Arabidopsis thaliana: one gene and its partner. The protein of the gene in region 2 purifies or fractionates together with the protein of the main gene of each other region. This does not show direct contact. Each region holds a gene or a part of one and is shown on either strand. Other genes may lie near its edges.

Evidence for each region. The genes of interacting proteins can lie anywhere in the genome.
Region 1: the proteins of MFP2 (region 2) and PKT3 fractionate together in Arabidopsis thaliana (co-fractionation; one large-scale study listed by BioGRID). This does not show direct contact.

The regions. Positions count from the first base shown.
Region 1 is NC_003071.7:14,049,500-14,053,253, reverse strand, and holds the start of PKT3 (peroxisomal 3-ketoacyl-CoA thiolase 3), read left to right. Parts: upstream 1-1,853; 5' UTR 1,854-2,270; coding exon 2,271-2,360; intron 2,361-2,772; coding exon 2,773-2,849; intron 2,850-2,957; coding exon 2,958-3,042; intron 3,043-3,124; coding exon 3,125-3,251; intron 3,252-3,340; coding exon 3,341-3,439; intron 3,440-3,512; coding exon 3,513-3,580; intron 3,581-3,660; coding exon 3,661-3,754. UniProt on the Arabidopsis thaliana protein: Involved in long chain fatty-acid beta-oxidation prior to gluconeogenesis during germination and subsequent seedling growth. Confers sensitivity to 2,4-dichlorophenoxybutiric acid (2,4-DB).
Region 2 is NC_003074.8:2,160,066-2,163,819, forward strand, and holds the start of MFP2 (multifunctional protein 2), read left to right. Parts: upstream 1-1,669; 5' UTR 1,670-1,860; coding exon 1,861-1,963; intron 1,964-2,159; coding exon 2,160-2,231; intron 2,232-2,338; coding exon 2,339-2,404; intron 2,405-2,500; coding exon 2,501-2,557; intron 2,558-2,650; coding exon 2,651-2,718; intron 2,719-2,805; coding exon 2,806-2,887; intron 2,888-3,089; coding exon 3,090-3,145; intron 3,146-3,227; coding exon 3,228-3,530; intron 3,531-3,631; coding exon 3,632-3,718; intron 3,719-3,754. Other genes in the region: BCE2 (2-oxoacid dehydrogenases acyltransferase family protein), read right to left, coding at 1-3, 251-400. UniProt on the Arabidopsis thaliana protein: Involved in peroxisomal fatty acid beta-oxidation during seed germination. Possesses enoyl-CoA hydratase activity against long chain substrates (C14-C18) and 3-hydroxyacyl-CoA dehydrogenase activity against chains of variable sizes (C6-C18).

The DNA of each region.
Region 1 (3,754 bases), on a different chromosome or scaffold from region 2:
TTAGGAATAATATTATGAAAGGATCCTTTTAAGATGGAATAAGATGATTTTATGTACATATATACTACTAATAAATTATGAAATAAATGTAGGATTCATTCTTTTTCTACTTCTTTTTGCATATCCGCTTGAATCTATATAAATCTGTATAAGTTGGAATGTTTTGACTGTATATTGTGTCACATTACATTATACATTACAGTTCCACGTGGTATTTTTTATGATTTATTAAATTTGTATGTGTTAAATAAATTTATACTTCATTCATATAGATAAGAAATGTATACTTTACAGTTTACATGTGTATTTGTTATTAAAAAAAGATAATATAAAAGAATAAGATATGGGAATGTTTACCCTAAAATCATATATAAGAGATTCAATTATCTTTTTATCTCATTTAATTTTGAGTCAGGAAAAAATATATATACAGAGAAGAAACAAAATTATTAAAAATGTAAAATTTATTGGTTAACATTTTGTCTTTACAAAAAACATAGATATGTTAATATAACGAATATAGTAAATGATAGAATAAAGATATTTAGTATGGTTAAGTAAGAAAATTAACATTTTCAATAATTTCGTCTCTTCTTTGCATAGGATTTGTTTGCCAACTCAAAGTATATTAGATAAAAAGATAAGATTGAAAACTAAAGTTGATAAGATATTATATTGTTTCACAAAAATTAGACATTGGATAGATGTTTAAGATTAAATAATCTTGTTAGAAATAAAACTGAAGTCTATGATGTTGCATGTAAGAGCTAATACAGTAAAATAAAATTATAAATTAATAACATGGGGAATAAAATATTTTATTGATTTATATAAGTGTTAATTTTTAGATGTAGTAAAAATATTGAAAATGACTTTTTCACAAAAATTAAAACAAATTCAAAGAAAAACAAATAACATTTTTATCCAATTACGTTATATATTATATTCGTCCAACTTTGAACCGGAAAAGTTTATTAATTTACAATGATTATTAAATTGACAAGTATTAATATATAGATGTTTCACTCTAATAGGTTAAATGGACAACTATATGCGAAAATATTAGGGCGATATTACAATAATCACAATGTAAAGATAGACAAGCACAATGTAAAGCTGATCACGTACAGTTTTGTTTCTTCCTCTTCAATGTTAATCTCTCCATTCAGTTAGAGTTAATTTCTAGTCTGATACATAACAAAACTACAAAGTTTCTCGAGTTTTTTTGTTATTTGATAACTCTCTACACGATCTAATTTCAATATTACATGTCGGAAAACTTCCGGAAAGTACCACACAAATGTTTGTAAGATTGAGTAAAATTGAGTAAAGAGAGCTTTAATCTCCCATATTTGCAAGTCGATATAAATTTGGTATCACGGCGTGTAAGAGATCTTGACATGCTAACCTTACGCAGATGTGCATTGTTGCAGTGCCATATTGTCATTATTGGTAATATATATGCCTAAGTAAAGTTCATATTGATAAAAATTTTATTCAAACACTATTGCATCTGCTTGTCAATCGCATAATAACATTATTAATTGAAAATGTAGTTTTCACTATTATACAATATCCGTTCTTATTTCGTTTAAACCGGCCGAGCCCATAGTATTGCAAACTATCACACCATATGGGCTTTAACTTTACGTTGGTAAAACGTAAAAAGAAAATAGCGATCAAGTCTCAAGAAGGGTACTTTTAGAATTAATAGCAACTTTAAGGCGTAAATAGAAGTAATACAAATAGTTGGGGTTATTATGTAAATATGAAGAAGATTAAGATCCAGAAGATGGAAATGAAAAACACGGCACGCATTTCAAAGCCCAAAACGGGCGGGGGCAAACGTCACGCCTAATCTTATCTTCTTCTATCACACTCTCAGCTTATCTATGACTATGACTCTCATCATCAATTATTTCACACTATTAACAATCACCAAACCAGTGTGAACATTTTAATTCATAATTAGAGTAAGGTCATTAGGCTAAAAACTGTTTGATTTGGATTTTACAACTATAGGATAAGAACTTGTATCGCTGTCACAGATGATATTTTTTGGTCGTTTAAGCAAAGAAATATTACGAAAAAGAGATATTTTTTATTCTTACTTATTTTGGGATTATCATTTACCCGGAACGGGCAAAGCGGTGAGTCATCTTACCTTATAAATGATCACAAACCCGAGGACTGTGAGTTTTCGTGTAGAACAAATCCTTCTCTGAGAAAAAACAACAGATCCGAATTTTATCTTTAATCAGCCGGAAAAAATGGAGAAAGCGATCGAGAGACAACGCGTTCTTCTTGAGCATCTCCGACCTTCTTCTTCTTCTTCGCACAATTACGAGGCTTCTCTATCTGTAAGCATTCTATCACCACACACTCTCTCTCTCTCGATCTATCGCGATCTTTTGGTTGTCTTCTCTTGTGTTTGCAGTCTGGGGATTATGGATCGTTGTTGATCTGGATTCATTATATGGAATTTTCGATTTTGATTTTGATGCTGAATTATAATTTGATTCGAGGCGTGCCTGTGAGCTGAAAATTTTAAGTTTCAGCTCGATTGAGATCAAATTCAAGACTTGGATTTTGTTTTTGTATTTCGTTCACTGGATTGAGATAGATATCTTTTTTTTTTTTGTTGTTGTTTGATTTTTGTTCGATTGGGTTGAATTATCCGTGCTCTGCATGTACTGATGATTTCTTAAAAGTCAAAGCTTGATTTCAATTACTACGTGTGATCTCTTTAACGTGTTCTTTCCAAATTCCCAGGCTTCTGCTTGCTTGGCTGGGGACAGTGCTGCATATCAGAGGACCTCTCTCTATGGAGATGATGTTGTCATTGTCGCGTAAGTCCCATCTCTTATGCTTTTACTCTTTTGGTATTTGGTTTTTCAGCAACGTATGAAGATTTCTCGTCTCTTTCTGATAGACTTACACTTATTGATCCATTGCAGGGCACATAGGACTCCACTATGCAAGTCCAAACGTGGCAATTTCAAGGATACATATCCCGATGATTTGCTCGCACCTGTTTTGAGGGTCTGTCGCTATCTTTTCTATTCTGTTGTTGGTTTTTATTTCCTTTCTACGTCTATTTATAGATAGTTCTTCCTTGACATAGGCATTGATAGAGAAGACGAATCTAAACCCAAGTGAAGTAGGTGACATTGTTGTGGGTACTGTTTTGGCACCTGGATCTCAGAGAGCCAGTGAATGCAGGATGGCTGCGTTCTATGCTGGTTTCCCTGGTATGTTTCTTCTATGTACAGTACAATACAATGGTGAAAAGTCTTTGTTTTTATTTCCTGTATGCTCATCCTGTTATGTTCATTTGCAGAAACCGTGGCTGTCAGAACTGTGAATAGACAGTGCTCATCTGGGCTTCAGGCTGTTGCTGATGTAGCCGCTGCCATTAAAGCGGGATTTTATGACATTGGTTAGTGAATAACCGTCTTTAACTACGCCACATTTTTTCATAGAGAACCGAGCTGACGATATGATGGATGCAGGTATCGGGGCTGGTTTGGAGTCCATGACTACCAATCCAATGGCATGGGAAGGGTCAGTCAACCCAGCGGTACTGATTCTCTCTTATCTGGAGTCTTACTTGGCTCTGTTATTTTAATACGTACTATAATACGGACTATGTTATTTCAGGTGAAGAAGTTTGCACAAGCGCAGAATTGTCTTCTTCCTATGGGTGTTACGTCAGAAAATGTAGCACAACGCTTTGGTGTCTCAAGGCAGGAGC
Region 2 (3,754 bases):
CAACTGTGAAAAATATGACAAACTTGTTTGATCCTTTGTCCAAAAATTACCAGAAAAACCACACATTCTAAGCAAACAGAGTTTTCCAAGTTTAAGTCTCTCTGATAAATTTATTTTCTTTCTAAATTTATACAGTTTCGATGTTTCTTTTTCCGCCTAGAAGAGCTTCTCGGAAGCTAATGTCATGCCTCAAAATTAATTTGAAAAAAAAAACTGAAAAAGGAAGGAAATTTGGTGAGAAGAAACATACAGTGGGAGGGTGAACAAAGAATGGGCGCGACGCCGGAGAGGAAGACGACTGAGAAAGATACTCCGGTACCCGGAACGGCGGAGAGCAAACAGATGACGAGCTGAATGGGCGGAGAAACCGGTGGCTTCGCCAGATCCGTCGCGCGATCATTGTTATGAACGGTTGGTCTTTGGTAAAAAACAAAAAACAGTACAAGGGAGAAGAAATAGACAAACAGATTGAGTTGATGGAAGATGTTTCTAAGAAGAGAGCTTAAAAAGATAAATGTTACGTACCCGTGTGTTTGTTTCTGTTCGAGTATCCGGATTAAGACTAAGGTACTGATTAGTATTAATAACTATTTGGATTAGTACCAAAAGAAAAAGAGAAAAAAAACTATCGGATTGGCTTATCTATGCCACATCAGCAATATCACGGAGAGGATCAACGGTACACGCGTATCCTCATGTACATCACTTTTTTTTTTTCCTTCAGATGGTGGGCTATATATATCGACTTCAAAAAAAGCCTTTTACAAGCAGATCCACTAAAGCCGAAAAGAAAAATGCCAAAAGGCCAGACTTACAAAGTGGACACACTTTTCTCATAGACAGAATTCATTAAAGCAAGAAAGATAACCTTAACCAACATAAGATTGCACTTGATTATTCTTTGTTACACTTTGAAGTTTGAACAATTAAAAATGAACAAACAAGTTAGAGATGTGAATGTGAGGCTACTTCCAAAATACAATCTATTTCATCACTAAACGCCTAACATTATCTTTGGAAAGTGAGCTACCTACCAACCCAAAATTACATCTAACTTACGTCTTTTGTCTTTTGAGTTTTGCCAACCGTCTTTGATCTTGGAAGATATTCGTTTACGTCCTTTAAGTTTTAAGCAAATCCATCATTGTTAGTGAAGTCTTAAGTTTTAGACGTTTTATTACTGTTATGGTTAACTGTATGAAAGTTGATACTTAGTCATGTGAAAAGATATTTCACCGGACCATAAATAGAGAGAATAAAAAACAAGTTATGGTTTGAATACTTGTCTAAAACTATTGATTGCATTTACATTTGTTTTTTAATCTGATTAAACAAAAAACGGATGTCATGGTAGAATTAACATATATTACAAGATATAATATTCAGCATGATCGATTATATGTCATAAATAAATCGCAAAAAAAAAAAACTAATAATGTTAAAAAAAAAAAGAGATACTCTTTCTAGTAAAGTTTATTTACAACTGTAAAATCCTATATAGGGTCGCTTAGTTACAAATCCGTAGTATCAAGATAAGATCCGCCAAGTTTGGTAGTCGCAGGACTATGACCAGCCAAACATATTTATTAGTAATAAATCCGCAGAGTTTAAATGCAAATATTTTGTTCCTAATTCGTGATTAATTCAACTTATACATAAATTGGATACGAATAACAAATAAAAATTCACATATCGAAAACATTATCAAAGTACCGTTGCTTTGAGGAGTGTGCCACTCTACCATATTATCACTGACGTCATCATCTTTTGCAATTATATAATCATCTGATTTCTCACGTCTCCTCTCTTTTTCATTAATTCCGAAAATTTTGACTCGCAAAATCTCAACGAAGCTCGAAAATGGATTCACGAACCAAGGGGAAGACGGTGATGGAAGTTGGTGGCGATGGCGTTGCCGTCATAACACTCATCAATCCTCCCGTCAATTCTCTATCCTTCGACGGTACGTACTCTCAGATTCATTTTATTTTTATGATCCGGAATTTACTGGATTTTACCTCTTCAGATTTAGGTCAATTTCGCTTCGTGATTTGGTTTTGTAAATATCGCCGATTGTAATTGAGCTTCCGATCGAATTTATGATCTGTTTATGTGAATTTTCTTTGTATGTGACTCTGTTTTTGGATATTTGTGTACAGTGCTATACAATCTCAAAAGTAATTACGAGGAGGCCTTGAGCAGGAATGATGTTAAAGCTATTGTTATTACTGGTATTTCTGGAGATCATTCTCTTCCTCGCTAAAAACACAACATTTTTTATGAAAACTTTGGAGATGATCTGGTAATGGCTTTTGTGTTCCTTTTTATTTAACTACAGGTGCAAAGGGGAGGTTCTCTGGTGGCTTTGATATATCTGGTTTTGGTGAAATGCAGAAGGGGAATGGTATGTTTCTGTCTCTTTTGTATCTTTGGTTATTGAATCAGTGTGGTATGTGTTGATCTAGTTAGTAACGTATACTGGTGTTATGAATTTTCTCAGTCAAAGAGCCAAAGGCTGGTTACATTTCGATTGACATCATAACCGACTTGCTTGAAGGTGATCTTTCTACTTAAACCCACTTTATTTGATTTATGGAATACTTGTGTAAGTTGTGTTGCTGAGGGATTTGATTTCTTTCCTTGGATTTAGCTGCTAGGAAACCGTCTGTCGCTGCCATTGATGGACTTGCCTTGGGAGGAGGATTAGAACTTGCTATGGTATGAGTTTCTATGTTATTTATTACCTTCACGAGAAATCCTTTTGAGGAGGAAGGATGGTGATACAGTTGTATGGTTTGTTTCCAGGCTTGTCATGCTAGGATATCAGCTCCTGCTGCACAGTTAGGCTTGCCTGAGCTGCAACTTGGTGTTATTCCTGGTTTTGGAGGTATCTATTCAACTTCGCTGACTGTGAAGTCCTTGAATTCTCTGATCAATATATGGTTTAAAACTCGTGGAGAAGTCAAGGCATTCTCAATGCATAATACTGAGCTGAGGATGGGAAGAGGATCTTCGTTTCATTTTTTTTGTTGAATGAGTCAAGTCACTTTCGTTTATAATGCTAATTATACTCCTTTGGATTGATGTAGGAACGCAGCGTCTCCCGCGTCTTGTTGGTCTCACCAAAGCCCTTGAAATGATTTTGGTATGTCAGTGCCTTATTCTTATGGTAGCATTAGCGTGCCTTGGTTAAAGTGTAATAGCATCTCTTTTGTTGAAACATATAGACATCTAAGCCAGTTAAAGCTGAGGAAGGTCATTCTTTGGGTCTTATTGATGCTGTGGTGCCACCTGCGGAGTTAGTAACCACTGCTCGTCGCTGGGCCCTTGACATAGTCGGGAGGAGAAAACCATGGGTATCTAGTGTTTCCAAGACTGATAAGTTACCTCCTCTTGGAGAGGCAAGGGAGATACTGACGTTTGCCAAGGCACAGACACTCAAGCGTGCCCCCAATATGAAACACCCTTTAATGTGCCTTGACGCTATTGAAGTAGGTATTGTTTCTGGTCCAAGGGCTGGTTTAGAAAAGGTATGATACCTATCTTTCTTCGCTTCATAGTATGTCAGTTCTTTAACCTTTTCTCCCCGACTAATGATCAATATGAATTTCCACCACATTGTTACTTACAGGAAGCTGAAGTCGCCTCACAAGTGGTAAAACTGGATACCACCAAAGGCTTGATCCACGTCTTCTTTTCTCAGCGAGGAACTGCTAAGGTCTGTGAGTCTTTATGCAGTCATATAATTTGGACT